Pelodiscus sinensis: one gene and its partners. The protein of the gene in region 2 purifies or fractionates together with the protein of the main gene of each other region. This does not show direct contact. Links are inferred from orthologs where the notes say so. Each region holds a gene or a part of one and is shown on either strand. Other genes may lie near its edges.

The links. The genes of interacting proteins can lie anywhere in the genome.
Region 1: the proteins of EIF2AK2 (region 2) and STAU2 purify together in Homo sapiens (affinity purification with mass spectrometry; 3 studies listed by BioGRID and IntAct, with this or other methods). This does not show direct contact. The link is inferred for Pelodiscus sinensis from reciprocal best matches to the Homo sapiens genes EIF2AK2 and STAU2.
Region 3: the proteins of EIF2AK2 (region 2) and DHX30 purify together in Homo sapiens (affinity purification with mass spectrometry; 3 studies listed by BioGRID and IntAct, with this or other methods). This does not show direct contact. The link is inferred for Pelodiscus sinensis from reciprocal best matches to the Homo sapiens genes EIF2AK2 and DHX30.

Annotation. Positions count from the first base shown.
Region 1 is NC_134712.1:53,729,356-53,740,069, reverse strand, and holds the start of STAU2 (double-stranded RNA-binding protein Staufen homolog 2), read right to left. Parts: upstream 4,054-10,714; 5' UTR 3,960-4,053; intron 3,918-3,959; exon of another isoform or gene 3,769-3,917; intron 1-3,768. UniProt on the Homo sapiens protein: RNA-binding protein required for the microtubule-dependent transport of neuronal RNA from the cell body to the dendrite.
Region 2 is NC_134713.1:137,312,521-137,322,968, forward strand, and holds the start of EIF2AK2 (interferon-induced, double-stranded RNA-activated protein kinase), read right to left. Parts: upstream 4,522-10,448; 5' UTR 4,290-4,521; intron 3,721-4,289; exon of another isoform or gene 3,623-3,720; intron 991-3,622; 5' UTR 980-990; coding exon 858-979; intron 1-857. Other genes in the region: sulfotransferase 6B1-like, read right to left, coding at 8,569-8,699, 9,862-10,018.
Region 3 is NC_134712.1:256,901,724-256,912,650, reverse strand, and holds the start of DHX30 (ATP-dependent RNA helicase DHX30), read right to left. Parts: upstream 4,054-10,927; 5' UTR 4,030-4,053; coding exon 3,843-4,029; intron 250-3,842; exon of another isoform or gene 76-249; coding exon of another isoform or gene 36-75; intron 1-35.

The DNA of each region.
Region 1 (10,714 bases), on a different chromosome or scaffold from region 2:
TGTTTTCCCAAAAGATAAAATCTAGGAATTATTTTGGGGAAGCTTTCTGGCCTGTTACACAAGTCACACTAGATGATCATAATGATCCCACCTGCCTGTGGAAACTATGGTATAAGTGAGACATATTACTAGTATAGCTGGCACAAAGCACCTGCATACCAATATAATTCCATCTACTTTAAGGGGATATACTGATTCAACTATAACAGTATATCTTAAAAGGTATAATTAATTAATGAAGGTAAGCCCAAAATATGCAACCAGCTGCCATCTCTGATCAAAGCCCAAATGATTCTGGAATTTCTATTTGCAGAACCATCAGCCACTTGATTTGCAAGCATAATATAGTAAAATACAAAACAAAAAAGGAGGAATGGTAGGTAGTCTGAACACAGGAGTGTGAATCAGTAACTCCAGAGTTCTGATTTTAGATCTGATAGTATCTCATACTGATTTTAAGCAAGTCATTAAATCTGAACCTCTCTCATAAAAGGATGAGTAATAAAGCTTATAAACTACACTGAAGATAAAAATGCAAACAACTGTTATTGGTCAAGCAGGGCATTCACTTTGTTTAATCAGTTTCATATCAATAACAGACAATGAAGAGAATAAGAGAAGCAGATTAGATGACTTAACAGTAAAATGAAGCCTTAATGGAAGCACCCTGTATAGCTGCTACAGGTTATTACACATTCCTGTCCTTCTCACTGCCACCTGCCAGATCAGCCTACATAAGCAACAAAGTATGCAGCCCTTCAGTAGGGTTGCCAATTTTGGTTGGATGTATTCCTGGAGATTTAATCACACAACAATCTTTAAATATTAATCTTTCATTCCTGGAGATTCCAAGACAATCCTGGAGAGTTGGTAAATGGCCACCCTACCCTTCATTCACGTACAACTGTTAGAAAACATTTGGTCTACAACTCAAAGTCTGCTTCACAATTACACTAGGTATTGTACAAAGAAGGTTTTTGGCAGAAAAGGAGAGGATTGTAAATGTACACTTCTATTTGACAAAATAGAATAGATTTCTTCTTTTCAATGCCATAGTTCAGGCAGGGAAACAAACTATCTAGAGGAAGTATGATAGGTGCTGCATAGTTAGGGAAGCAGCCTTAGAATTCAAAGATCTAGCTCAGCCACTGATTCATTTTGTAACCTTTCACTTACTATCCCACTTTATAAATAAAGACAGTACGTGATCCATGCCTCATATTTAGAACCGTGTAAATCAGGAGGAAATCCACAGAAGTCAACAAGTCACATTTATAAAACTGGAAAGAGAGGAAAGTCAAGCCTATGTTCTCTGCTCCAAAGAACAGTTTATGTGAGCTATGCCATTGATATAATGTGTTAACTTGGGAACATCATTTAGCTTCTCTGTATTTCAGGGGTAAAACTGGGGTAACAATTCATCTTTGTAAACCACTTTCAGATTTCGGAATAAAAGATTACTCAAGAACATGTTGTTGTTTATTATTATTATTATTATTATTAATAGAAACAACTGTTGGGGAGACTGAAGCCAGATCTATGCTATGGGGGAAGGTCGGCTTATGGTATGCAATTCCAAGTACATAAATAATGTAGGTGGAGTCAATGTACCTTCAGCCAAACTTCAGTGCAAGGTCAATGGAAGACAGCCTCCCATTGACTTCCCTTACTCCTCATGCTAAATCGAGCACCGGAAGATCGACCACCGCAGGCATTGATCTTCCTGCAAGTCTAGATGTGGCCTCAGTTATTCAGCTTAGTAAAGAGATTTATAAAGCCTTTCACAAATTGATAATCTGAAACTAGCATAAATTGTTTAGCAGCATTGGCTGAATAATGGTTTATGTTAAATGCAGCAGTGGCATCAATACAGTTTCTAGTGGCCAATATCCACGAGTGTTGGATATCTCCAGAGGGCTCTAAATGAGCATGAGAACTGAGATCTGCTGTAGCACATCCCTTCAAAGCAGAGTTAAGATTCATCGTGTGGGCAGCACTGGAAATCTTGCATTGCTGCCAGCTTTCTTCAAATAAAAGCCTTCATCCATCAGAATGTCTGGCACCTTTGGTAAGCCCTACAGTCACACAAAAACCCTAATCAGAAAAAAAAAAAAAAAAAAAAAAAAGCAGCTCTCTATAGTAAGAAAACTTTCACTGGTATATTACTGCAATTGCACAGAGGCCAACTCTAATGCACTGCACCAGTACAGAGCAGGATTTACACTGTGGCAGATTAATCTGTGTACACCTGAGATAAATCAACAAATCCATTTTGCTTCAGTTTACTCGTCTTTAATCTGTACTCTCTTATGTACGTATGTAGTTATACCTGTGACAATTTCCTTCATGAAAGCAAAGCCTTCTGATAGTATAGTTATTTCTGTATATTCACCATGGACAGCATAAAGATCTGCATTTTTAATCCTAAAAATTGCAAAGAAAACTATCCATATGACCCAAAGAAACAATTTGCTGGGAAGAAGAGCATCACTAACTGCACCATACATCTCCATTTCCAATCTGGCCACATTGCAGGGAAATTCACCCTCAGAAGACAACAGGTAATGTCTTCCTGAGACGGTCTTCATAGAAGCCCTACCAGCAGAGGATGCCAGCACAAAACAATTCCCAGCTGTTCTAGACTGGTCTCCTCTCAACTTCGTGATGGTAACTGTCCAGCCCCCACCAACCAGTGCAGCCCCCAGCAAAACAAATTTGTGAGGGCTTTGCACTGCTGTCATCATGGTTCATTTTCTTCCACAGGGGACCCCAATGCCTGGGTTACACAGGCAAAAGTGTGAGTAACTTGGGGTGAATACTGCCCAACAGCACTTTAAAAAAAGCTGTGAATTCTCCTTCTAACTTCTGGTACTATTGACTTCAAAGCTAATCACGTAACACAAAATTTCAGAGTTAAGGGTTTCAAAGTTGAACATTTTATAGGAGGAAAAATGTCAGTCTATTGTGGGGGCAGGAGAAAGTTCAGGCTTGTTAAGAAAGTTTACAATTGTAGGTGAAATCTGAGTACAGTAACACTACTTTTAATCTGTTGTGCAGCTATGCAGCATACAATGTAGTGTAAGGCTTTTTGTATTGCTCTACAGTAATAGTTAAACATGGAATGTTTAAAATCCGTCATGATTAGCTAATGATCTTTTATAAGTTATCTGAAACATGCTGAATTAAAATATGGCCAATGAAAAGCTCAAAAAGCCACACTGAAAAAAAGAGGCTTGCTCTAGCCATAAAAAGCTACTTCACAAATTTAATACAGGCCTGATACAATATGCAGCCAAGCCGCAATTCGAGTGGTACTTCCACAGTAAATAATCAGTCTCCTATTTTATCACCTCAACAGCTGCAATAGCTGGGCTTTTATTCCGCGCAGGGCAGCTAAAATCCGAGTCATTTCACTTGAGCGCGGTCTGAGCGTAGAGACCGGCTGGGAGAGGAGCGACATTAGCCGGGGCAACTCCCGACCGGGGGGGGGGAGGCGGCGGCAGCATCGCACCCCGAGAGAGATGTGGGGGCCCTTGCGAGCAGGGGCGGCGGGGGCGCAGCGCTCAGCGCTGGGGGCCCAGGACCGCCCCGCGCCAAGGGAGCCGCGTTACCGGGGCAAAAGGGGGGGAAGACAACAGCTCCCCCCCCACGCCCGGATCCGCGGCTCCCCCCGCCCCGCCGCCGAGTGCCGCGGTGCGGGCCCGGCAAAGCCCCTTGCTCGTCCCCCCTCCAAGCTCGGGGCCACCGGGCGGGGGGGGGGGCGGTTACCTGGTTCCCGGGGACACTTTGGAGACGCCTCCAACATCGGCAAACACTAAAGAGAACTGACCCCGCCGCGGCCGCCGCCGGCCCCAACCACTGCGCCCCCCCGCGCCCGCCGCCGGCCCAGCCGCCGCCCCCCGCGCGCGCCGCCCGGCTCGCCGCCCGCCTCCCGGCTCCCCGAGGCCGCTGCCACTCGCCCGCAGCCCCCGGAGTCCGGCGGGGAGGCTCCCGGCGCAGCGCCCAGCCCGCCGCTCCCCCCCGCCACAGCAGCGCTAATGGCCCCGTCCGCCTCCCTTCCCCTGCGCCGCGCGGCGCCGGGCTGGCGGGTGGCAGCCAGCGCCCCCTAGCGCCAGCGCCGAGCAGCGCGCCCCGCAGGCTCTGCCGCCGCTCGCTCCCGCCGTCCTGCCCGGCTCACCCGGGCCCAACAGGCCGGAGCGCGCCCCGGCGTCCCCGGGCACTGCCTTGGGGATAGAGCAGGCTTCGCCGCGGGGCGGCTCCCGGGGAGGGGGCAGGCGTTGGGTTCGCAGCCACCATTTCGCAACGCCCGGCATTTAATGGAGGGTCCCCATCGAGATAGGCCCGGGGCTGGGTCCGCCTCTCCCCACCTTGTGCTAAAGCAAGCGCGCTTTCAGGCAGCCTGTTTGCACTCGGGGCAGGAACAGCCGCAAGGCTAGGGGGGAAAGTGGTGTAAGTAATTCAAGAAAACACCTGTGTTATGGAGTGTGGGCGAGTCCCTGGGCCCTGCATCTCCCCCCCCCCCCCCTCCGCATCCAGATGTGACTCTCAGCCAGCAAGTAGAACAGAGGGTTATTGCTTCACAGTGACACAGCATAGCACCGATTTGTAATTACCAGGGGAATCAGGAGCAGTCAGTATAATCCAATTTGGGAAGAGGGGGCCCCCCGGAGCAGGCTCCCTCCCTGCATCCTAAGCCAGCCTACTAACTCACACAATCAGCAACAGGTCCCAGCCCTGTAGACAGCCCCACCACCTCCTTTCTTCAACTTCCCCATGGCAAAAAGTGTTGCCTGATGTCACCTGATTGCATCTCCCACCTAGGCTCAAGTTACAAGACAGCCTAAGCCATTGTGTAGGTGCTGGCATGGGCAGCCTCCCTCAGTAAGAACAAAATACAGGACTATGTAGCACTTTAAAGACTAACAAGATGGTTTATTAGATGATGAGCTTTCGTGGGCCAGACCCACTTCCTCCGATCAAATAGTGGAAGAAAATAGTCACAACCATATACAGGCAGTCCCCGAGTTACGCGGATCCAACTTACGTCAGATCCGCAGTTATGAACGGGGCCCGTCTCCCTGGTCTCCAGCAGACCAGGGAGAGGAAGCAAAGTGGCGGAGCACGCGGGCAACGGACAGCCCAGACGCGTCTGGACTGTCCACTGCCCGCGTGCTCCGCGGCTTTGCTCTGCTTTGCTCCCCGTCTCCCTGGTCTGCAGACCACGGCGCGTCTGGGCTGTCCCGCTGCCCCCGTGCTCCACGGCTTTGCTCCGGACGCCTGTGGTACAGCAGCTGGGGCACTGCCGGTTGGTCCAGTAGCGCCACTCTGGGCGCTACTGGACCAACCCGGCAGCACCCCAGCTGCTCTGCCCCAGGTGTCCCCAAGTCAGCAGCTGCTGAAACTGACCAGTGGCTGACTACAGGAAGCCCCTGCCCCAGGCTTCCTGGAATCAGCCGCTGATCAGTTTCAGCAGCAGCTGACTTGGGGATGCCTGGGGTTCTTAAGTTGAATCTGTGTGTAAGTCAGAACTGGCGTCCAGATTCAGCCGCTGTTGAAACTGATCAGTTTCAGCAGCAGCTGAATCTGGATGCCAGTTCCGACTTACATACAGATTCAACTTAAGAACAAACCTACAGTCCCTATCTTGTATGTAACCCGGGGACTGCCTGTATACCAAAGGATACAATTAAAAAAATGAACACATATGAAAAGGACAAATCACATTTCAGAACAGAAGGGGAATGGGGGGGGAAGGAAGGTAAATATCTGTGAGTTAATGATATTAGAGGTGATAATTGGGGAAGCTATCTTTGTAATGGGTAAGGTAGTTGGGGTCTTTGTTCAGCTCCCCCCCGCCCCCGCGGAGAGTGTTACACCAGACTAACACAGCTACATTTCTATCACTCTCCCTCAGTAAGAGTCACACCCAAAACTCCCCTACCAGCTGGGTACCAGTGCAGTGCCCAGAGAAACTGTGGTGCACACACATACACACAGGGTATTTCTACACTTGCACCCTCTTTTGATAGGGGGATGCAAATGAAGACATTCAAAATTGCAAATAAAGCTGGGATTTAAATATCCCATGCTTCATTTGCATATTCGTGTTATGGCGCTATTTTGAAATAACAGATGCTGTGAAGATGCAGTTATTTTGAGAGAAAACCCTTCTCTCAAAATAACTGGTAAACCTCATTGTATAACTAGATCTAGTCTGACTCGTTCATAATTTATATGAAACTTACCACAAAAAAAAATGAAATGTAAATGATTTAAACTATATAGTGTAAACACTTAGCATAGCTACCAAGCTGCATCATATTTTGACTTTCCATTGTTTGGGAGAATAAACCATATATATCTCACCATCACTGAAACTATTGGTGCTAAGGCTGCTGCTGCATGCCCTGTTGTGAAGTAGTTTCCATCATAGAGGGTTTACAGTTTGGCTCAAAGGCTCTCAGCACCCTTGTTATTACCCACATCTCTTCTGACAAATTGGGGTTTAAAATGCAAATGTTGATAGAAAATCAAGTTGCATTCTTAAGCTAATTTACTTTTTCTGGGTTTGGGCATTTGCCTATAATTTTCTGGGGTAATTTTTTGTTGAAATGACCATGTGTCATGCATCTGACGAAGTGGGTCTTTGCCCATGAAAGCTTATGCTCCAACACTTTGGTTAGTCTATAAGGTTCACAGGAGTCCTCACCGCATGTGTCATTAGGAAGTGACCCCTGCTGACTACTCTGTGAAATCTTGTGTCTACGTTGGAGGCAGTTGGTTCCTACTTTTTTCAGAGACAAAGTGGATGAGATAGTATCTTTTATTGGATCAAGGTTTGTGAAACAGAAAAAGCTTTTGAACAGCAATAGGCAACCTAGGCTAGTGAGTGGGCTGCATGAGTGGCCCTCCTTCATCTCAGTGGGCTACAAGATTGTGATCAAGATGATTTCAGGATAGGGTATTTTTGCTAATTGTACTTGTATTCCTAGAATTTGCAGTATGTACAAACCACAGAACCATAGTAGCACTTTGAATGCAGAGGGTGTGTACAGCTCTCACAGTCAATGTTGTGTGCAATCAGCATGCACCTCATTTTATGTTCCCTTACTTTAAGTCCATGTCACTTTAGTAACAGTAGTTAAAAAAATAAAATGAAAACTAGCAAAATCATGGACTACAGTAAAGAAAATGGCTCATGAGTCACACACAGAACCCTGATGGGTTGCATGTATCTGACAAAATGATTTTGTGCCCAAATGAACCTATTACTCTTTAAGGTGCCACGGGACTTCTTGTTGTTTTCACAGCTACGGAAACATAGCTCAGAGACTTAACTCATTAACAATCTTAAAATCTACACTGTACAACACACTCCGTTATGTCAGAGTTCAATACAGTAAAACCCATTAGTTATAGCAGCATCCCATCTTGCAAACTAGTTGGGGGACCTGTGTGTTTTAACCAGGACAATAAGCTGTGTTTAAGGCATTAGCACAATTTGTAGATGCTTCAAACATAGTTATGCATGTGCCTGTGCTGCAAGCTGGGACTTTTACTTTCATTATGTAATGAGTTAACACTGTACAAGTTGAACCACCCTGGTCTGGGACACTTTGGTTGGACCACCGATGTTGCTGGACCAGAGAACTCCTGGACCAAAGACTCCCCTCTCCGGGCAGCGGAGTCCGACAGCCCCGTGCTTCAGAGCCCAACAGCCCAGCATCACTGGAGTGGCTGTGGAGACCAAGTGACCCCAGCATGCCTGGGGCAGCAGTGTCCCTGCAGCCCTGGGGCTGGCTATGGAGAGCCTGGAGTCTGTGAGCAGAGGGGCTCCCCTAGTTTGGCAAACTCTCTTTCAGGTCCTGAGGGTGCCAGCGCAGGAAGGTCCAACTTGTAGTAACTGGATGCCCTGCACATGTACCTTTCTAATGTAGCCAGAGTCTGTATAATCAGTTAAGATATGTGAATTGATTTAAAACTATTTATTTTCACTATCTGCAACAGGAGTGTTAAAAGGCGGGTATTTTAACCCCCAGCTCCTACTGCCTTTTAAATTGCAGAGCTGCAGCAGGATTTGGTCAAGCACTGGTATGAGCCAGGACTGAGCTGGGATGCCTGCCCAGCCAGCAGCAGCCCCTGTCCATGCAGGGTCCCAGTGGGAAGTTGGGACCTCCCGCTCCCCCCCCCATCTGCTTCTGATAGAGGCAGCAGTGAGGAGGGGATGGGCAGCACCGCAGAGACGGTGCTGGGGGGAACCAGCTTTTAAGCTGGCTCCTCCCAGCACTGGCTCCTGCTTCCCCCCACTTATTCACAGGCAGAAAGTGGGGGGATGCGAGTAGTCTATTCGACTACATGACTACTCCCTTACATCCCTAATTTGCAATGTTAGCTTACCTTATACATGTTTTCTAGTCAGTTTTCCTTTACTGGTTTTGAGCATCAGCACAGAGCTGCTATGTTTAGAATCATCAGTTCTGAAGAATATTTAAACACTTTTCAATTGTATGTTTAAAAGTTCATAAAAACATTTATGCATGTTTTGTAAATTCCTTTTTCAATCATCCTAAAATGTTGGGCCCAAATTTTCTCCCTTTTATATTTTTCTGCTGTTGGCATACATTTTTAAAATGTTTGAAACAAAGCACAATATAAGAACTTTCCATTTATTGCATTCTGCAAAAACAGACTGAAAAAGAAACTCTTGACCCAGGTGACTGTCAGCTTGTGGTGCCAGAGTGATGGCTTCAAGTCCCCTCTCTCCCTCAAGCCGCCCTGGTACAGTGGGACAGCCAACACAGGCTGCCCCAGGGATGGACCTGGTTCCCACATTAGGAAGGCAGGATAAGGGACCTGCTGAAGATAAGGAGGTGGGGTGGGTTCTAGAGTGGACTTGGGGATAGAGCATTCGCCTGGGCAGCACAGGGTGGTGGCTCCAAGTCCCCCTGCCCCATCCCACCCACCCACCCAAGCAGCTGCTGGGCAGCCAACACCAGCAGCCCCAGGAATGGAACTGGAGTGGAGTAAGAGTGAAATCTCTGTTCTGTACTAAAAATAGGAAATAGTCTTGGCTAGGCTATGTCTGATACAATACTAAGGATTCTCCAATTATTGTTTCTCCACCAATGGTAGCAATGATGAAAGAGTTAACAGACATTTCAAGTGTGGCAAGTAACTTTTTTAATGAAACCTATATCTTCATTGAGAGTTTTAATAGGTTTACAATCTTGACCATATAATTATCAGAGACAACACAATAATTACCACCACAAGGAAATTTTGTTAAGAGAAACTAATATAATCATTGGATCATTCTACTTAACAGGACGTTAACCATGTTATAGAATGAGCATCTTTATGATACCCATGACATGTTGTTTCTAGTGATTTTATTGACTGAATTCTCTGAATACACCTATTTAACAAACTTGTCATGTCTATCAGATGTTAATATTTTAAAAATGGACAGGTTTGCATGGTTCTTGTGGGCATGTTTTGTTGTTTTTATTTTTGCAGGTGAATGTACTTTGAGTATTGAATAAAAGGTAACCAAATAGCTAAGTATCTGTCTTCTATTTTGCTGGTATGTAATTGGTGTGTTAGTTTTTCCAGAACAACCACCTCCATATTTTTTCAGCTATTCCCCTACACTGGACTATTTGTCTTTTTCCAATAGGAAGTTACCACTAGTCTATTTGCCAGTGTTTTGATAACTCTATTCACTACTAAACCAATTCTCGGCAAGGCTGAATGACATGAGTAAAAACACCATCCACAGAACAGAAGGTTGGTCTTGATGACTTCTTGAGGTCCTTCCCAGACCTACATTTCTATGATTCAAAAGCCGGATTAAACTAGTGCTCCCACTGTGTGACTGCACAGGCTGCATCAACAATGGGAAATTTCAAGGGTAAAAAAAAATACCAAATTATTGTTGACGTAGCTGAAATATACATCTTGTTTGCACATTTATGGCTCTTGTCTATGTCATCTATAATAGGCAATGATAAATGGGGAAAAAAACAGTGAGCATGGCATACAATTCTTCGACTACTGTAATGTTCTTACCATGGAGTCACAGACAGTGCTCTTAGTCTCCAGTCTACTTTGCCACCCAGAAACACTGGACTTAGGCCACGTCTACACTACGAGATAAAGTTGAACCTATTATGTTGATTTATGGTCACCCAATTTGGCAAAGTTGAAGGTGTGTGTTCTCACTGTTGGGAAGAATCGAATGTAGTCCGAAGTCGCATGTCCCCATTGGGGCTACCATTGATAAATGATCACTTACACTCAAAATCATCCCACCTTCAGTTGCTTCCAGTCCAAGAAACCAGTCATTCACCCCAGATCAATTGGTGCCCTAGTTTTTACATCAAAGACAATGTCTTTAATCAATCCTGTAATAAAGTTTATTGACTTGGAAAAAGAAACAAATCATTTACATGTTAAAGCAAGCACACACACAAATGAGTTACCATGTAAATCAAGGGTGGGGAACCTTTTTTATGTCACGGGCCATTCACCCACAAAAAAGTCAGTTGGGGGCCACGCACAAGTGAGAAGCAAAAACAAAAAACAAAACAAACCCTCCACTGACGTGTCTCCCTACTAAGGAGAAAGGCACTCCCCACATTCCCCTCGCACACCAGAGGCCCAGGCACTGTGTTCCCTCTAAGATTTTCCATCCATGAGCAGAGTGAATTTTGTC
Region 2 (10,448 bases):
TTTAGGCTATGTCTACACAGCAGTGTTATTTCTGAAAATAACAAAGAGCACGTCTACACTGTAAGCCATTATTTCAAAATAATGGAAAACTGCAGGACTTCTTACTCCACCTCCTGTAACTCTCATTTTACAAGAAGTAAGGGAAGTTGAAGGAAGAGTTTTCTTCCTTTGACTTCCTGCTATGTAGACAGTGCCAAAAACCAAATTAAGCTATTTTGACTTAAGCTACGCAATTGACGTAGCTCAACTTGTGTAGCTTAATTCAACTTTTGCCCTGCTGTATAGACGTATCATTGGTTACATAAATAAAATACATCCATCCCTGGTCTGCAACTCCATCATTCCTTTACGAAGGGCAAGCCAAACTTAGGTCGACTTACACTGACACCCAGCTACTGTAGTAATTAAGTTGGTTGTGCATGTCCACACCACACTCCTTCTGTCAGTGGAGCTCATCCTAATAGAAGCGCTTACATCAAGGCAGAGAGCAGTGTACTGTGGGTAGCTATCCCACAGTACAGCTCACCACAGGGAGTTTTAGGAAGGACTGGCAATCTCCATGGGACTAAAACATAGGCTTTAACAATCTATGATGCAGTTTTCTCTCTCCCCTGGTTTAATCTGCAGACTAAAATATTTCAGGCCTTTTTTCAAAAGGCACATACATAATCTCCAGAGAACCATGAACCCCACTCAGCTGCACACTATTGTGGTGAGCACTGCAAACACTACAGGCCTTATCCTGGTGTATTTTCAGAGCTGCTATCTCCATTTAAGATGAAGCAGTGGTTACACTGCACTTTATTTCTCTCATTAAAATAAGTTGCTGTATTTATCAGCACATACTATGAACTTACACACGATCATGAGGAGGACCATCTACTTTGACATCCTTATAATCAAGTTGAATCTTATGCTTCTGACAATATTCATGAAGTTTGCCCTTGTACAACTGTGTCTTAGGACTATATTCTGCCATTTTGGCACAACCTGTAAGGCAAAAAAAATTTTGACTAAATCTTGCATTTTGAGTATTTGTGCATTAGGGAATGAAAACATAAACAAGACTGGCAGCCCACATTGTCTAAGGGTTTTGGAGCAAAGTCAGAAGATGTTTACAAATGCGGAGAATCATTAGATGTGTTTTGACAGAAATATTTATTGTAGGTAAAATATTTGTTGTAGGTAAAAATCATTCATCTTGAAAATTATAGAACCTAGTTGCTTGTCATTTATTATTTAAAACACTTCTCAGGGCAGAGCCTATATCTTCTTATGTATTTAAAGTGTCTAGTACAAACTAACCCTAATCAGGCACTAGCATAATATGAAACTTAGTGGTTAATTGAATCTGCTCCTGAAGCTACAGAATATGAAACTGAAACATCAATATGTTAAAAGAGATTGTTACTTTGCACTAAGAAAGGAGAGTAATTGACTTTTACATGTTTCTTGAAGATTTTAGTTTTCACTGGAGTAACAGATTTAGGAATCTGAATTGAGATAATTCTAGTAATTTGGGGAAATATATTATAAGGGGGTTTTTTTAAGTAAAGTAGCAAACAAAAAGCCAGGAAAACAACAAATAAAAAGTGTACAGTGTGTTTTATTGTATAAGTGCACTCAAACAAAACAATGTAAAACTTTTGGACTTGTAGGTTCTCTCAATCCCACTCTTCCTGAGCTAATTGGTAAAACAAGCTAATCTGTTTACATTCACTGGCAATAATGCTATCCACTTAGGGTTTACAATGTCACTTGAAAGTGAGTACACACATTTCTCTGATACTTTAGTAGCCAGTGTTGCAAGCTATTTACATGCCAGACAGAAAAATTTCATTAAAGCTACTGTTTCAAATAAAGTTCACATCACACTAATTAAGAAGGAAAGCACTATACATCTGGGGTCAAGCTTAGATTATGGGAAGTTATAAGAATAGGTTTACACAGTTCGTGAGATACATAGCATACGTAACCAGCATTGTCCCAGCTTGAGGTATGTGAATTTTTTAAAGCAGCAGAGAATACGTAGTCCTGGGAATACAGAACCACAAGGCTACAGAACCAGAGTCCATTCTGGTGAAGCACCTGGGTGGAGTGCATCCCTTGTTCCTCTGGTGTCTTGTGGATCTTGCTAAAACATTCTTATGCTTCTTCATTCTTTGACCACCATTCCTGCTGATGACTCTTGTTTAAAAAAAATGCATTCATTAAATTTGTGACTGAACTCCTTGGGGGGAGAATTGTATGTCATGCCAAAGAAGGAACCAATATGAGATATTAAAAGATGGCTACAATAGTCGAATCAAAGTTTAAGAATCTGAAGTGCCTTCCAAAATCTGAGTGGGACAAGGTGTGAAACATGTGGTCTAAAGTCTTTAAAAAAGCAACATTTTTATTCTGAAACTTCAGCACCTAAATCACCAAAAAATAAAACCAATCTTCTGCTGACAGCTTCTGACTCTGATGACAAAAATGAACGTGTGTCAGTCCACAGTGCTTTGGAGCATTATCAAGCAAAACCCATTGTCAGCATGGAAGCATGTCCTCAGGAACTGTGTCAGAAGCACGAAGGGGGATACAAATGTTTAGCATATATGGCATTTTGCAATACCAGCTACAACAGTGCCATAGGAATGCCTTTTCTCACTTTCAGGTGACATTGTAAATAAGAAGAGAGCAGCATTATCTCCCATAAATGTAAACAAACAAGTTAGTCTTAGTGATTGGATGAACAATAAGTAGGACTGAGTGGACCTGTAGACTTTAAGTTTTACATTGTTTTGGTTTTGACTGTAGGGATCGCATTACCGTACTTGTATAAAGTGAACTAAAAATACAGTTTATTTTGTTTATTTTACAATGCAAATATTTGTAATCAAAATATAGAGTGAGCAAATTTTGAATAATGTGTCAGTAGTAGGAATGATAAAAAGTACATTCTTTTGTAAACATGTAACTGCTGAAATTTTTCAGTGGTTACATGTTTACCTGTGGGGAGGGGAGGTGCGGCTCTGAAAAGCTGGCTCTCCATGAGCACCAGCTTCCATCTGCTCCCCCAAACTGCTTCCTCTGATATAGAGCACAGGGGAGAGCCATATTGTAGAATGATCACTGCAAGCAGCTGTACCATTGCTATGAGTGGCTAGCTGGTGACAGGGCTCATCATCTTGCCTGCCACTGCTCCAGGTAAGTGGGAGACTGCCGCAGCCAGCCCCCCTCGATAGCTCCAGAGAGATTGGGAGCAGGGCAAAAGCCCCCATCCAGGCTCTCCCTGGTGCCCAGGGAGAAACTGGGCAAAAGCCCCTGCTGAGCTCCCCCTTTGAGCCCCAGGAGGGGTTGGGGACAGGGCAAAAGACCCCGTCAGGCTTCCGCCCCCGAGAGGGCAAAAGCCCCTACCAGGCCCACACTGCCAACCCCCTGCCCTGAAAGACTCAGGCAACATCCGGGAAGTCTTCTAGTAACTATATATCCAAATTGTTTTCTCCCTCCCTGTACTCCCTTGGATGTAGAAATGACTTTTTCAATATTATAAACTTTTCAAAACTGCAGGACTTCAAATCCATTGTTGTGAATGGGTACCTATTGGCCTGTATTTCAGAGATATGAATTGTAAGCATACCTCTCCTTTCCCCGCAGTTTGTCACTTCCAAAGCAATAACTGCATTCACTTCTACTCAGAGGGCTGCTGGCCACTGTCCTGGGACTTATACTTTGCACCTGTAAGGGGAACAGAAGTCACTAGCACCTTCCCTTGACAGGTGACTTCCGGGTAGTCCCCAGCACTGCTCCTATTTCCTGGGCATGTTGTCACACAGCTGCAGTCTGGGATGCCAAGTATAATGCTAAGTCCGCTCTTTGGCTTTTTTCAGTTTCCAGAGATAGCAATGCCAGGTTTAGCATATCCATATATACAATACAGAACAGGACCAGAAGCCCAGATCGTGATCACCCCAACCCTGGCTGTGTGGGTCAAGCTCCAGCCTGTTCCAATTCACACTCTGCGTCCTAGAGCCCAGAGGGGGCTCTGGGAAGAAGAGGAAAAGACCCAGCACTAGCGCACCCTACCTCATCCCCGCCTCCTACCCCTGCCCCCAGCCTCCCTCTCCAGTCTGGGTCCGCAGGGACCAGCACAGCGGCGCGGGCCAACACCAAGGTCATCGACACACACACCCCTCGACCCTTTGCAGGAGCCTGCCCGGCTGAGGGTCACTCGCCCCCACCCCACCCTCGGGGCCTCCCTCTGAGCTTGCACCGCCTCGAGCCCTCCCGCCGGCCCGGCCACTCACCAGCCGCGCAGCACCCCGGCCGGCCCGCGCTCACTGCGGCAAGGGACTGGAAGTGGCGGCAGCTCAGCCCCGTCTGTTTCGTTTCCTCGCGGCGGCTTCCCCGGGCCGCCTCGCTCCTCCCACTCCGGCTCCGCGCCGGAATCGAAACCAAAAGCAGGCGCCGCCGCCCGCGGGCCCGGCTGCTCCTCGGGTGGCTGGAGCCCCGCGGGCCAGCAGGGGAGGCGGGCTGGGGCGGCCCCTCCTAGGCAGCCCGAGCCCAGCCTCGCCCCGCCTTCCCCTTTCACGGAGCAGCCGGGCCCAGGGCTCCTCGGTTCCCCCCCTCAAGCCCCCAAATTCAGCCGCCTGCTTCTCCCTGCTCTGACTCCGCTTCTCTCCGGGCCCAGCGCCCGCCCTTCTTCCTTTAGCCTTTTTCTTCTGAGCGCCCGCAAGCCCCACTCCCACCCCCACTCCCGCCGCCGGCTCTCCCTCCACCCCCACCCCAGAAGGAGCAGAGGAGAGGGGGAAAGTCCCCTGCGGGCTACCCAGGCTGGGGAAGGAGATAGGGCGAAAACCTGCTGCCTCCTCTCCCAGCCCCCAGGAATAAACCAGCAAGCAGGATGGTGCCTCCCCCTCACGCACCCAGGACAAGTCGATGGATGGGGTGCGCTCCCCTCCCCCCCGCTAGTCTGCAGAGAAGCAGGAGGACGGGGTGTGCAGCCCCCTCCTGTCCCATGGACAGGTTGGCGGCACGATGTACTGTCCCTGCCAGCCCAGCCCGCCCCCCTGGGGAGAAGCCAGCCACCTGCATTCTTCTGCCCTGAGCCCTCCTACTCCCCTCAGCTCACCCTTCTCCCAACCCCATGCCCTGATTCCTGCATCCCCACCTCTGTCCGCCTCACCCTCACTCTGGCACCTCACGCATCCCAAACCCTCTGCCTGAACTCCTCCTCAAGCCCCCACCCTGACTCCTGCACCCCTCACCTCTGCCTTCCTGCCCTGAGCCCCCCACATACTCAGGGCACTTCCCCAATTGCCACACTCCCCGCACTGCCAGCCTTCTGCCCTGAAAGACCCAGGAAATGCTGGGTAAGCCTAGTTTGACAAATGTCAGCGAAGTTAATCAAATATTAGAGTTGCCATACTTACATTAAGGAATGAAGGATGAGAAAGTTCGCTAACGTCTGTAAAAATGGTGACGAGAAGATGTGTTCAAAATGGATGGGCACAGCAGCCAAGAGCAACACTCTCCTATATCTCCCATTCATAGTATGTGTGTAGGAAGAGGGTCCCTTAAGATTAAACCTGCCTATCTATATATGTTAGAGCTTTTATGAGTCTGTTTGTGAGTCCGTCCATCTGTGAGTCAATTTGTTCAAGAACTCCTAAATGACAAGAGCTAGGGCCACCAAATTTGGTATGCAAATGTCACTGAGGAGAGGAAAGTCATTGGGGCCCTGCTCCCCCTCATCCACAGTCAGATGTGATTCAGCCAGCCCACAGAACGAAAGGTTTATTAGTTGACAGAGATACAGCATAGAACAGACTTGTCAGCACGGAAACCAGAAGCAGTCAGTACAATCCATCTTGGGGACAGGGTGCTCAGAGTCCCTCATCCCATCTCTGCATCCCAAGCCAGCAAGGGCCCTCACCCCCATCTCTGCACCCCAAGCCAGCAAGTCCAACTTTTGCACTCAACAGCCTCTATCAGCCCTGCAGCTGGCCCCACTTCCAGCCTTTGTCCTGCTTCTCCAGGCAAAGGGTGGCATCAAGTCACACTCCCTCCTAGGCTTGAGTAGGGTATGTCTACACTGCATTCCTCTTTCGAGAGAGGAATGCAAATGCAGATGAATGAAATTACAAATGAAGTGTGGATTTGAATTTCCCACGCTTCATTTGCATAATTGCGTCCGGGCACTATTTCAAAATACCCTATTTTGAAAAAAGAAACGCTGTCTAGACGCAGTTATTTTTAAAGAAAACCCTTCTTTCGAAATAACTCTTAAACTTAACCTAACATGACCCCCCAGAAGAGACATCCTCTCCCAAGGAGAAGCAGAAAACAGTGGCTCAGTCCCCTCCTTTGAGGAGACTGCAGCCTAGTCCTCCCCCCCATTGGAGGGTGTGTGAGGGGGGACAGCTGGAAGCTGAGGCCAGCCTTCCCCCCAGACAGCATGGAGGTAGGGGGGAGCCGGAGGCTGGGACCATCCTGTGGAACCCCAGCATCTCCCCAGACAAGCTGAAGGTTGCAACCAGCTGGGGACTGCAGCCCCAGTCCATGGGAGAAGCCACCAGCCAGGACATGCAGTCCCAGCCCCCACTCCCAGGAGACAGAATGCTAAGTTTGGTCCATTGCTACACATTTTAGTTTTAGAATTTGAGAAACTAGCAGTAGTCAGTGATAGAAATGTAGCCGTGTTAGTCTGGTGTAGCTGAATCAAAAAACCGAACTATGTAGCACTTTAAAGACTAACAAGATGGTTATTAGGTGATGAGCTTTCGTGGGCCAGACCCACTTCCTCAGATCAAATAGTGGAAGAAAATTGTCACAATTGTGACAATTTTCTTCCACTATTTGATCTGAGGAAGTGGGTCTGGCCCACGAAAGCTCATCACCTAATAAACCATTGTGACAATTTTCTTCCACTATTTGATCTGAGGAAGTGGGTCTGGCCCACGAAAGCTCATCACCTAATAAATGATCTTGTTAGTCTTTAAAGTGCTACATAGTCTTGTTTTTTGATTTAGCAGTAGTCACACATGGTAGTTCTGTTTCTGTCCAGCAGAGGGTAGCAGTACACAGGCAAACATCACTGGTACCAACACACAGAGATGACAAAACATTGCATGTTTTTCCAGTTATAGACTAACTCGACTGCCCCCTAAAGCTATTGCTAATTTATTTGTGTAACACTCCTGAGACCCTTTGATATTAGAGCAGTAACTCTCTAACAATTTGTATAGCGTGGGCGAGTGCTGAAAACCAATGAAAAAAAACATAAACCCTGTATATGATGTAAACCACATTCAGCCAGTGGGTGCTGCTGCATCCCTAGAACTCCTATAAGAGAGAGCCTCAAAGATGGCTGGAAATGTTTTTCCCCCTTTTCCTTCACCACTAGATGTGCTTCTGACATAGGACTTCTACTCACTATTTTTATCGAATATCAACACTATTTTCATACCCAGACCTCTCCCATTTACATCTCTTACCAGCTAAAGTATTGTGCCCAGAGCCCTCTTCAGAATGAGGTGACTCCATAACAGTCTCTATAGTTGCAGAAGCATCAGTCAGGTATGACCAGGGCCTTCTTTCAACAGCTTTTTAAAAATTACTCCATAGTTATATTCTACCATCAGGGAAAGGAGAGGTTTTTTTCTCTAGCTTGTTGAGATCGCTTCATGTTCCTAACATGACTAACATCAACACCTTACTTCAATTGGCAACTTTTGCTACCTCATTCACCTCCCTTTTTTGTCAGCAATAATCATATTAAACAACACCAGACAAAACCCGAAGACACTCTGCCTTAACCTTTTGCCAGGATGAATACTGACCATCAGCTCAAATCAATGAACTCTAAGGGCATGTCTACAGTGCAGGGCAAAAGTCAAATTAACATACGCAACTTCAGCTGTGTCAATTGCGTAGCTGAAGTCGAAATAGCTTAATTTGGCTTTTGGCTCTGTCTACACAGCAGGAAGTCAAAGGAAGAACACTTTTCTGTTGACTTCCCTTACTCCTTGTGAAATGAGGATTACAGGACTCAGAATAAGAAGTCTTCCATCTCAAAATTATTTCAAAATAACAGATTGCGGTGTAGATGCACACTTTGTTATTTCAAAATAACGTCAGTTATTCCAAAGTAACACTGCTGTGTAGACATACCTTAAAGGAATTTCATACAAGGCCACAGAAAACATAGGATGTGTTTAGGACCAAATTAACTACTGAAGCTGATCATCCAAAAAAATGTTCAAGGTGTTTAACACCCAGAGCATTCAGAAAGTTTGGATCTAGAGCAGAGCTCAGTTTGAAATAATGGCAGATTAAGAAAAAAAAATCTCAAATAGGCACAGAAACTTTGATATACTAGTCATATGTTCTACATATTCAGCTAAATGCTTCTGTCACGTCTATATAGGCCTAATAGCAGAATTTGGCCCATTATTTACTGAGTTCTCATTATTTCTTTATTTTGCAAATTCATTTGTGAAAGTCTAAATCATTTGAATCTATGCATTCCCAAATGTGAAAGGCAATGAAATACGTGATAATGTAGCATCAGAACGAAGTTAAGATTTAGTATTTGCAGTATTTATCATATTTTAGCTTTGCTCCCAGTTCAGTTCCCGCTGAACACTCTTCAAATTTGGCATCCATTTTCTGGCTCTGAGCTTCAGTAAAGAGGTTCTTCCAATCTCCAATGCCACCTGCACATGAACAATGAAATAAATTATAACATCACAGGTGAAGGGTCCTTATTAAACTTATCCACCTGAAGGTGTGTGTGGAGGGGGGGAACCCGGGTCCATTGGCCACTTGACCAGTCCTCCACCCCAGGCTCTCCATCCTCCAGCCGCTCTCCCCCATGCCCATGGGAAGCAGCCACTCACCAAATGGCAGCCAACAGCAATGCAACATTACAGGGGTGGGAGGACTCAGGAGAAGGGGGCAGCACAGCCATGCAGCCAGCTGCCAGAGAGAAGCAATGCTCTACTGCTTCAACTTGCTGCTTTTTCTTGCGAGCTGTGCAGCTTGTGGGCTCTCCATCCCCTGGCCACACCCATCCCCACCGCGGGCAACCACGGCCAGCCACTCTCCCCAACCTGTGGACAGCCACCACTCACCAGAAGGCAGCCAGCAGCATGATCACGGGCTGGAAGGCTTCAGAGGAACACTGGGTCGCTGCACAGCCTACGGCCAGAGGGAAGCAGCACTTTCCCACTTCAGAGCGCTGCTTTTCTCTGGCCAGCTGTGGGGCTGTCCCACACTCCTCTGAACCCTTCCAGCCCATGTTCGCGCTGCTTGCCACCTCCTGTTGGCTGTCCTGAGGCTGCAGCCTGCAGATGAGCCTCCCTGCTCTCCTAACCCCCATGCACCCCTCTGCAGAGTGACCATCCCGTGTGGAGGGGGTGCCGTAACAGGGTCCACCCGCTTGTGAGTGCCCCTCTGTGGTAAAGGGGTGCCGCATAAGGTCTCTGCTTAGTCATCTTCAAGGTTCTTGTAGGAAGCTTGTGGCCAGTCTTCGGTCACTGGACCTGGGCCTTACCACGGTCTAAGTTCAGCTTGCCCTCGGAGCTGTCTATAGTGCTGCTGGTCTCCAAGTCAATGTATAACCTGCCTGCGTTGAGCTCCTGTGAAAAACTGCCAGGCCCTAGCCCAGCAGCTTCTTTTATACCGGACTGCTGGGTCCTGATTGGCTGCCATAAAGATAGCCATTCTATCCTGCCTGGAGGACCTCTTTTCTGCTCCTCTCGCTGGGAGGGGGTGTGGCAAGGACTCTAGCCTCCTGTAGGGGCATCAGGGCTTAGTCCACCCCATCACAAGAGCTCATGGCCTTGAAATGACTATCATCACTCCATATAAAAGTACCTTTTCTGAAAAGCATGGGAGCAAATTTGCCATGTGTTTCTTGGGATTTGTTGCTCATGGATTCGAAGGTGGCATTCTCTGCAATAGACTGAATCTTCTCTTCAGGCAGAGAGAACCCCAAAAAATCAGCTATTTGTTTCACTCCTCCATGTAAATTCTGAAACACAAGAGTGTGCTGGAATTATGTACGAGTCAAAGAAAATATGCCAGACATTTTCCTCTTCTCTTTTGTCAAATGAATGTGGCAGATTTTATCCCCCTCCATACACAGAGCAGAACAGTAGAACAGTATAGTAGATTCAGCAGCAAGATGTTGCAGAAATGAGTGGTTAGTTTAGACAAGATTTTGGTATCCGTCTTCCCTTCTCCAAATGGAAATGTGTTAAAAGGATACTCAGTCTTTTGCATGTTTCTCTTTTAATATTTATTTCTACTGATTACATTTGTTTAGCAGCATCAATGGGTAATACAAATGGATATTACATGCCCTTAAAAATATAAGACCTGCAAACATACATATGCTTAACTTTCAGAATGTGAATAGTCTCACTAAAGCAAATGGGACTACTCACATGCGGGATCAGGCT
Region 3 (10,927 bases), on a different chromosome or scaffold from region 2:
CTCAGGCCTTTAGGGAGACCTTAACAACAACTTACTTGTTGAAGGAGGCAGATCTTTTATTCCTTCAGTGAGCATCCTGGAACAGCCTCCTATGCTCAGTCTACCACTGGAGAACGCAATACAAAGCAATGCGGAAGAAAAGACTCCAACAATCTGCCCCCAGCTTTATGTGAATCACTTATCACTGTCAAGTCTGCCTGTTACACCCATTGTCCCAAAGCAGCATTCTGATTGGCTGGTTGGGCTTTTTGATGTCACAGAGTATGCCAGCTCCCAAAAGTGTACAGCCAAGATCTCAATGAAACAAACAAAAACCCCCACTATACCTATTATGAGGATTGGGGGAGGGGGAGAGGAAATCAGCACAAGGACAGGGCATCTAGGGATAGATTACAAAAAAGTCAGTAGTTGTCTACAGGAAATATGATCCTAAAGGAGAGAAAAACAGTTTAAAATACCTCCTCTCCCAGTGTGTCAAACTGCCTTTTCAGTTTTGTGGGGCGGGCTGATTCAGTTCTAACATTTACACTAGAAAACTGGTTAAATAGGTAGCTGTTCAACAGGCCAATGTACAGGCAGTCCCCGGGTTACGTACAAGATGGGACTGTAGGTTTGTTCTTAAGTTGAATCTGTATGTAAGTCGGAACTGGCGTCAGCCGCTGCTGAAACTGATCAGTTTCAACCGCTGCTGAATCTGGATGCCAGTTCTGACTTACATACAGATTCAACTTAAGAACCCCAGGCGTCCCCAAGTCAGCTGCTGCTGAAACTGATCAGCGGCTGATTCCAGGAAGCCTGGGGCAGAGCAACTCTGCCTCGGGCTTCCTGTAGTCAGCCGCTGGTCAGTTTCAGCAGCGACTGACTTGGGGACGCCTGGGGCAGAGCAGCTGGGGTCCTGCTGGGTTGCTCGAGTAGCGCGGCTCCTCGGCGCTACTGGACCAACCCAGCAGCAACCCAGCTGCTCTGCCCCAGGCATCCTGAATCAGCCGCTGCTGAAACTGACCAGCAGCGGCTGAATCAGGATGCCTGGGGCAGAGCAGCTGGGGTGCTGCCTGGTTGGTCTGGAGCGGCGCTGCGGGACCAACCCGGCAGCCCCAAGCTGCTCTACCCCAGGGGTAGGCAAGAAAAGCCTGGTTGCTGGGGGGGGCACTAGCTGCACCCCCCCCCCAGCAGACCAGGGTGGCGGGACCGCCCAAGTCCTCCACGGCTTTGCTCCGTCGCCCTGGTCTGCTGACCTGGGAGACGCGGAGCAAAGCAGCAGAGCACGCGGGCAGCGGGACAGTCCAGGCACGCCGCAGCTGTCCCACTGCTGGTGTGCTCCGAGGCTTTGCTCCCCATCTCCCTGGTCTGCTGGTCAGACCAGGGAGACGGAGAGCAAAGCCTTGGAGCACGCCAGCAGCGGGACAGCCCAAGCGCGCCGCGGCTGTCCCACTGCGGGCGTGCTCCGAGGTTTTGCTCCCCATCTCCCTGGTCGGAAGACGGGGAGCAAAGCCACGGAGCATGCCCGCAGGGGGACAGCTCAAGCATGCCCGGGCTGTCCCGCTGCGGGCGTGCTCCGCGGCTTTGCTCCTGTCCCCCTGGTCTGCTGGGGGGGCCCAGCAAAGCCGCTGGACCCCCCCAGCAGACCAGGGAGACTGGGAGAAGCTTTTCTCACCCGGGAGGACACAGGTGGCGACCCGCCGCCCGTGAGCTCCGGGGCGAGAAAAGCCCTGTTCGTAAGTGCGGATCCGACATAAGTCGGATCCGCATAAGTCGGGGACTGCCTGTATATGCCACAGTCGACCAAAAGGAAAGCTGGTTGTTCTCTTAAAAGGAAAAGAAAATTAAGTGGCCAATTAGAGACAAAGAAGATTTTTAAAATTATTTGCAGTAAGAGGTATTTATAAAACATTTTCCCTGCTGGTTTTTCTTGTCCCTTTTGTAAGAATTTGCAAAGTAGAAACCCACAGATATAAATCTAAAAGGCACACTGTCTTTTTTTAAAATGGAATGTACATGTAAAGCAGTCATATGACAGCAATAACCCTTCCAGTACACTTTTTGGGTAGAGGAAGGCTCTCAGCCTTTGGCATTATACCACACCAAGCATCCGTGCACATTATATCAGCTTAATGTTATGTCTGTGCCATGGTTTACAATCATATTTACAAACCTCCTTGAAAGATACAAAACCTTTTTATAAGATTGTGAGGTTTTGATACTTGAAAGTTGTAAAAACTTTTTACAAAGTGTGAGATTTTAAGTGCATAAGTCAACCCTGAATGGGATAAGGATATTAAGAAGAAAATAAATTGAAGTGAGTGTCTGGCATTGGAAAAGGTTCAAGAAAAGGCAACAAAAATGATGAGGGGTTTGGAACGGGTCCCGTATGAAGAGAGATTAAAAAGACTTGGACTTTTCAGCTCAGAAAAGAGGAGACTAAGGGGGGATACGTTAGAGGCCTATAAAATGGTGTGAAAAAAGTGAATAAGGAAAAGTTATTTACTTATTCTCACAATATAAGAACGAACTAGGGATCACCAAATGAAATTAATGGGCAGCAGGTTTAAAACAAACAAAAGGAAGTTTCTCTTCACTCAGCGCACAGTCAACCTGTGGAACTCCTTGCCAGAGGATGCGGTAATGGCTAGAACTTTAACAGGGTTCAAAAAAGAGCTAGACAGATTCATGGAGGTTACGTCCATCAATGGCTATTAACCAGGATGGATAGGAATGGTGTCCTTAGCCTGTTTTTCTAGAGGTGGGTGACAGGGGAGGGATCACGTGAGGATTCCCTGCTGTGATCCCTCCCTCTCGGGCATCTGGTATTGGCCACTGTAGGCAGACAAGACACTGGGCTAGTTGGACCTTTGGGCTGACCCAGTCTGGCCGTTCTTATGCTCTTATACTATACACTGAAGGAAGATATGCAGCTTCCCACATGTAATTTATGAAAACTGTAACACATGGGCAGGGCTTGACAAACGGCGGCAAAAGCCACTCGCCAGTCCCGCACTGTGCATGCACAAGAGCCTCCGGTAAATGGGGTGTGCGGCTGACATCTACTCACCATGGGCGAGTAGATTCTATAGTTTGTCAAGCCCTGCGCATGGGAATTCACGGGCAATAAGATTTCTTAACATCTAGCTCACTTCCACGTTTCGTTTGGTTTGGACAACCCATCAGTCCTCAGAACAAAACCAGTATGAGCAGTGGCAGGAACATCGAGGTACACCATGCCAGTTCTCTATACTGCTAGGAGAGCGAGGAGGTGATGTTTCCTCTCCGCAGCCTGTTCAGCTGATCCCCCTGTGCCGAGGTGCCAGGGAAAGGGCTATTTATTAGGATATTTTCATTCCACACAGGCTAAACCAGAAGGCCGGGAGACACAAAGGCTTTCACTCACGACCCGTTTCAAACGCGTGACCTTGAGGTGAAAGGACGCGGAGCCCTTCACCGCTGCCCCGAGCATCCCATTCACCCTGTTTGCCAATCGGGGGCCGAGGCGCGTCCAGAACACGGAGAGATTCACGTCCAGGAAGCGGCTCGTGTTCCCTCCAGAGCCGCTTCGGGACCCGCCGCCCCCTGGGCCCCACGCGGGCTCGCCTCCCCGCACCGGCAGCTTCGCGCACGTGTCGGGAGAGGCGCTGGGGCCGCACAAAGCCCCGTCCCCGCCAAAGCGAGCGGCCGGCGAGGGACGAGGCCTAATCGCCCGCTGGCCCCGCAGGTCGCTCCCCGGGCCCCGCTGCGGAGACCGCGAGGGCTGGGCCCGGCCCGCCGGGGCTCGCGCGCGCTGCCCCCCGGCTGGAGAGAGGGGCGCCCCCCCCGCCACAGGGCTCGGCCCCAGCGCCTCCCGAGCTCACCCTTCACCATGGCGCCGACGTCCGGCTCCTCTTCCGCCCCGGCCGCGGCCTCGCTCAGCGGCCCGCCCGCGCACAGGCCCCGCGTGGCGCCGCCCGCTGCCGGCTCCGCCCGGCGGTAGCGGCGGCAGCGCCGCGGCCCGGAAGCGCCGCTCACCAGCGCCAGCAGGAGCCGCCTGGGCGCCGCCATCTTGCCGAGGCCGCCCACCGCCGGCTTCAGGCCGGGCAGGGGCAACGAGGCGGGCGGAGGGAACCCGGCCGCGCGCAGCGGCCCCTAGCGCGCGGGGCGGCGCACTGCAGGCCCGGAGGAGCAACAGCGCCGCACCTGCCCGCGCCCCTGCGGGACCCATGCGCGCGCCAGGCCCTGCTGGCCGGGGGCATCGCCCGCCCCTCCCCCGCTGCATTAAAAAGGTGGAGGAACAGGCTGAGAAAGCAAGAGATCCCTGCCCACCCCGCAGCTGAGGAACAAGCCTGCACTGACCCTGCCCACACCTGTTCTGAGGCTTAAGAGAGAACTGCCAGGTAGGCCAGTAATGAAATAGAACAATCCTCCTCCCCATTTTTATTTCATATCCACATCAGACATTGTAGGAATCTCATTTAGCATCCGCTCCCCTTGAGTGACCCTGGATAGGAAACCAACTCTTTGTTTTATCTCTGGATCGCATGCAGATCAGTCAGAAGCAACACAAGAGAGAGTAAGCTATTTCAACATGTAAGAGGATATATTCTGAATACTACGTGAGCCTCAAAACAACCCCTTAGGTAGGTCAGCATCACGCACTTTTTACAAATGAGGAAACCGACCCACACCGAGGTTTATGAGAAACTTGTTCATAAAGAGAAAAAGTTAGTGGTGCTGCATATGGTACCCAAAAATTTCAACTTCCGGCTACTCTCTTTTAAAATACATGTTAAAGGGACACTGCCAACTTTAAAAAAAAAATCACTTCTGATAACTTTGAAACTAGAAGACAAAAAATGCATTTGCAATTTTCTTGGTATTTCATGCCACTCTGTGTATATTATCACCAGTGAGGCCAAATTTTAAAAACGACTAGCCAAAAGCAAGCAAGCAGAAATATCTGACTCCAAGAACTATACCAATCAGCAGGAAAGTTCCCAAGCAGGTTTAGTATCTGAAAGTAATTTTTTTTAAATTATATATCGACCATACTTCACTTCTGCAGTTGTAATCAAACTTCATTATTTTACTAACACCTTCAATACTAACATTTGAAAATTAAAAAGTTATTATTTAGGTTGGTCACAGTCTGTATTTTTCTCACTTTGAAAAAAATGTTTGCTCAATTTTAACAATTAAATATTTTCAGCATAAGTTTCTTAATACTGTAACATGTGGATGTCAAGTACCCTGTCGCTGCAGGGATGTTTTAATCCTTCCCCCCATCAGAATTTGTAAATTATCAAAATATTTGAATATACATGAAATCTAACACTTTGGGCTACAATTAAATTGCAAGTGCCTATTTACAGTAGTGAATTGTTTATATGTTAAATTGTCATTCATTAATCAGTAAATACTTTGCTTGCAAACCAAGATTATACATTAGCTAATATGTAAAAAATCATTAAGGGAAGTAAGACTTTCAACAAGTATATCTTCGCAGGGAGCTAAAAGATATCTGAATGGTTACGTTAGCAAGGAAAACCACATATAAAAAAAACTTAACAAAAGAACAAGTGTATTTGGAAGTTTTGAGCACACACTAAATTACTTGACTCAGCAGATGTGCATCTTAGGATATTAAGCCAATTAACTAACATTCTACCAATAATAAATATTTCTGAAAAAATCAGGCAACAAGAGAGGCACTAAAAAAAATGCAGAACAGACTTTCAAACACAAATACTAAAGCCATCCTGGCTGTTTGTTTTCCTAAAAGTCTAACTTCTATCCCCAGTAAAAGAATTCAACAAATACTGAGAAAAGTACAACTAGAGTATGATAACCATAAGCAGTACATAGCATCAATTCCTACACACCAAATATAGCCAGACAAATTCACCAATTAAAAAATCTGGTAGATGTTATACTAAACCCCATGAACTCTATCTTGAAAAATTATTTCAAATCAGTTTAACTAGTATAATTCAGCAGAAGTAAAACTTCTGGGGAAAATAAAAAGCATGTGTATGTAGAAAGGGGATTAATGTTAAATGCTGAGGTATCCAGTTTATTTATTGAAAATCTTCATTGTGATCTTGAAGGAGTAGGATATCCATTAAAGCAGGGGTTCTCAACCTTTTTCTTTCAGAGCCCTCCCCAACATGCTACAAAAACCGCACAGCCCACCAGCACCTATAAAAGCCAGGACTGGCATTAGGACAATTGCCTGGGGCCCCACAAAGGTACATTGCTCAGGCTTCAGCCCTGGGTGGCAGAGCCAATGGCCCAGGCTACAACCCCAAGGCTGTCTAGACTGGCCAGTTTTTCCGGAAAATCAGCCGCTTTTCTGGAAAAACTTGCCAGCTGTCTACACTGGCCGCTTGAATTTCCGCAAAAGCACTGACTTCCTACTGTAAGAAATCAGTGCTTCTTGCGGAAATACTATTCTGCTCCCGTTCGGGCAAAAGTCCCTTTTGCGCAAAAGGGCCAGTGTAGACAGCTCAGATTTGTTTTCTGCAAAAAAGCCCCTATCGCGAAAATGGCGATCGGGGCTTTTTTGCGGAAAAGCGCGTCTAGATTGGTAGGGATGCTTTTCCGCAAAAAGTGCTTTTGCGGAAAAGCGTCCGTGCCAATCTAGACGTTCTGTTCCGAAAATGCTTTTAACGGAAAACTTTTCCGTTAAAAGCATTTCCAGAAAATCATGCCAATCTAGACGCAGCCCATGTGGCAAGGCTTCTACCTTCTGCCCTGAGCCTCAGCGAATCTAAAGCTGGTCCTGTTTGAGCACTCCCCTCAAACCTACTCCCAGCGGGCCTTGAACCTCGCATTGAGAGCCACCACATTTAAGGAAAATTACAGATGATACTAAGTTGTTTTGAGTGATCCACACTCGTGGATGCAGAAATAATAGAGCCCTAAAGAAATGAGAACCGTCGGTGGAGAATACAATAATGAAAAAATGTAGTTGTACATCTGGGGGAGGACTATAGGAAACACATTCAATGGGAGGAGAAACAGTGATGCAGAAAATAAAAGGGAGAGAGTGTTCAGAAAATTAGATATAAATAACAGGGCTAGTGGTTTGTCACGGTAAATTAGACAATAATTCTGGTCACAGAAAAAAGGCAAGAATCGATTTATGGAAAAAATGCCAGCAGTCACAGGATACAATATTTCAACCAAAATGTCCTTTATTTTGCAATGAAAAGCGTTTAACAGCATTTAACTAGTAGTTTAACACCACTATCCTGCTGCTTGTCAGTTCAGACTCAAAGCAGCGAGCTGCTGCTGCTCCTTCTTCTCTCCTACATGAGCTTTTGCAAAGGGGTTGGCAGCTTTGTACAGAAACTTCTTATCCAGCTCTGCCAGCTTCAAGACTTTCCCCAAAGACTAGTAGTGTCACAGAATCCATGAAGTCCCTACCCCAGTCCAGCCATGACAAACCACTAGCCCTCATGAGGTGATGCTCTCCTTCAGCCTCCCATTCAGCCTAGATTTTTACTTGGCATCTCAAGAGTTTCCCACTGAAATACAAATGTCAAATATCATTAATTTGTTTTAATTATAGAATTCATGACTACTGATGCGCTTTTTTTTTTTAAGCTTGACATTGAAACAAGAATGGCTAATGAAACGTTATGCCACCAAAACAATGAATCCGAGGCATTTCTTCCCAGAGCAGGGAGGTAATAGACCCTCACTATGTTGTACATGTCTGATACAACCTTACCGGGAATAATGGATTGAGTTCTGAGTAGCTCATTTTAAGATTGAGTAACTGAAGGATATTCAAAATAAGCAACAAAAAATGACCAGTGACTAGAGGGACTGACTTATGATAGACTAGAAAGAGCTAAATCAACAGTATGGCTGAACAATGACAAAAGGGGACATAACAGCTGACATATTTGAATTATGTTAACACCGCAGAAAGTACAAAGGATGAAATTTAAAAGGAAAAATGCAAACTAATTAGAACTAAACTGGATGAAAAATTAAGTAACACACTGTAGGGAACAACCCTGCATTGTCAGGGGGGATGGACTGGAGAACATAAAAATTCTTTTCCATCTCCAGTTTCTGTATTTCCCTGAAATGTATCTCTCACTGTGTTACTTAATATAAGTACAGGTACTTGTGACATTAATACTTGTTCAGACAGCTGTCCCAGCTAAAAAATGATTTACACTGCTGCATAAGTACTAGATACCAAACTATTATGGTTTGGAAACATTTACTTTTACAAGCAGACACAAATTTTACCCTTGGATGTGAAGCTCCCCTTGCAGTTAAAAGGAGTGACATAGGACCTAATTCTGTTTTCCTATGTAATACATAACTTCCAATGTGGCTACTAATTTTCTCAAACATCCTTCCTTTTTCTTTGTAGCACATGTAAGCATGTATTGGTGGCACAAACACTAAAATGAATGAGAAATAACTCACACTGCAAGGCAGTATGGCACACCTGTCATATCATTCAGCATAGAAAAGAATGGTAAAATTATTTATGAACTGGATATCTTTGTCCAGAGATCTAGTGCTATAGCTGATCAGTCAAGAAAAATTAATGGTGAGAGATGAGCGCATTCCCCAAATCAACCAGTCCTTACCTTTTCTACATGAATTCAGCGAGAACATCTCTGTCAAAGTGAAAAGATCTGATTCCTAGGAAAGCAAGAGGATGGAGAGACAGGAAGTTAGAATTTATATTCCTCTCCGAAATGTCCAAGCCTCCACTAACTTTTCTGATATTAACTATATATTAGATGAAGAATACAGCTGAAGGTTGACCAAATTCCAGTCTGAATGATTGCATTCTGCTTGGCTATAGTATCTATTATGTGCTGTCTTAAATTGCTGAATAAAGTTGTACTCTGTAAAACAGCTACATTTCTATCACTAATGTTACATTCAGAGATTGGGGGAAGTATTCCCTCTAAATATTAGTTCAAGTTTGTAAAAACTTTGGAAATTTGCAGGATGACAAGTGCTACTGATTTCTAGTTATTCACATTTTAGACACTGAAAGTCCCATTGAGATTAAATACAGTATTTTAGTATGGGGTTCTTGTGATCCCCACCTCTCTGTACTGTTTTTCTTAAGCTTGACATATAACTGGAAAAAATAAATTAACAGATGTAAGACACATTGAAGAGGCCTGCATTTGTTTGACATTTCAGGGTTTGTTTGTTTTTGCCCAACTCAAGTTAATAAATTAAGCTATTTTACTTTAAAATACACTGTCCTCAATTTGAACTAACAACATCTGATGGGGAAAGAGAAACATAAGGACAACAAAACATAATTTTAGAAATAATCTATTACCCAGGCCCACTGGTTCATTTTTAGAGCATTTTTGAAATTAGAATAAAAAAGATTTCATAACAGCATATTTGTGGGTGTTCCCATTCAGATAATACTATTATTACTACGCTATTGATTCCAGTGGTATAAGAACAGGCCTAAAATGTGTGTCTATTTTACATAGTGACTATGTGAAAATGGCACCTTTCTTATACAGGCAGTCCCCGAGTTACGCGGATCCGACTTACGTCGGATCCGCAGTTACGAACTTGGCACTTCCTCTCCCTGGTCTCTAGCAGACCAGGGAGAGGAAGCAAAGCGGCGGCGGAACGCGCGGCCAGCTGACAGCCCAGACGCATCTGGGCTGTCAGCTGACCGCGCGCTCCGCTCTGCTCCCCCCCCCCCTGCAGACCAGGGGGAGGGGGAGCAGAGCGGAGCAGAGCAGAGCGGCGGAACGCGCAGCCAGCTGACAGCCCAGAAGTGTCTGGGCTGTCAGCTGGCCGCGCGTTCTGCCGCTCTGCTCTGCTCCGCTCTGCTCCCCCTCCCCCTGATCTGCAGACCAGGAGGAGGGGGAGCAGAGCGGAGCACGCGGCCAGCTGACAGCCCAGACGCGTCTGGGCTGTCAGCTGGCCGCGCGTTCCGCCGCTCTGCTCTACTCTGCTCCCCTTCCCCCTGGTCTGCAGACCTGGGGGACGGGGAGCAGAGCAGAGCAAAGCCGCGGAGCCCGAGGGCAGCAGGACAGCCACGGCGCGTCTGGGCTGTCCCGTTGCCTGCGTGTTCCGCCGCTTTGCTCCCCGTCCCCCTGGTCTGCAGACCAGGGGGACGGGGAGCAAAGCAGAGCAAAGCCACGGAGCCAGAGGGCAGCAGGATAGCCACGGCGCGTCTGGGCTGTCCCGCTGCCCCCGTGCTCCGCGGCTTTGCTCCGGACGCCTGTGGTACAGCAGCTGGGGCGCTGCCGCTCTGGGTGCCACTGGACCAACCCAGCAGCACCCCAGCTGCTCTGCCCCAGGTGTCCCCTAGTCAGCAGCTGCTGAAAATGACCAGTGGCTGACTACAAGAAGCCCCTGCCCCGGGCTTCCTGGAATCAGCCGCTGATCAGTTTCAGCAGCAGCTGACTTGGGGATGCCTGGGGTTCTTAAGTTGAATCTGTATGTAAGTCAGAACTGGCGTCCAGATTCAGCCACTGTTGAAACTGATCAGTTTCAGCAGCGGCTGAATCTGGACACCAGTTCCGACTTACATACAGATTCAACTTAAGAACAAACCTACAGTCCCTATCTTGTACGTAACCCGGGGACTGCCTGTACTCAACAGATCTGACCCCTGTGCACGTGCAGAGTCAAACGAATTCATTTTAGTGATAAGAAGTTGACACTATTTCTCTGTCTTTGAAATAAGCAATTAAAATACAAAGTTATTTGGCTTCTTCACCATAACAAATAGTTAATTACTATAACAAACATGATGAAAGAGGAATGCCTGCATGCGTCCATACTGTAGATGAACGATGTACACCAGACACCAACGTGAAATTTTCAACAGCAACACTTTTTGAGATACCATGGATCCTTGAGCCAGGGGGGAATGCAATCTGCCATTATGTATCTATCCAAACAGGCATCCTCAAAGAACAACAATAGCCACTGCTAT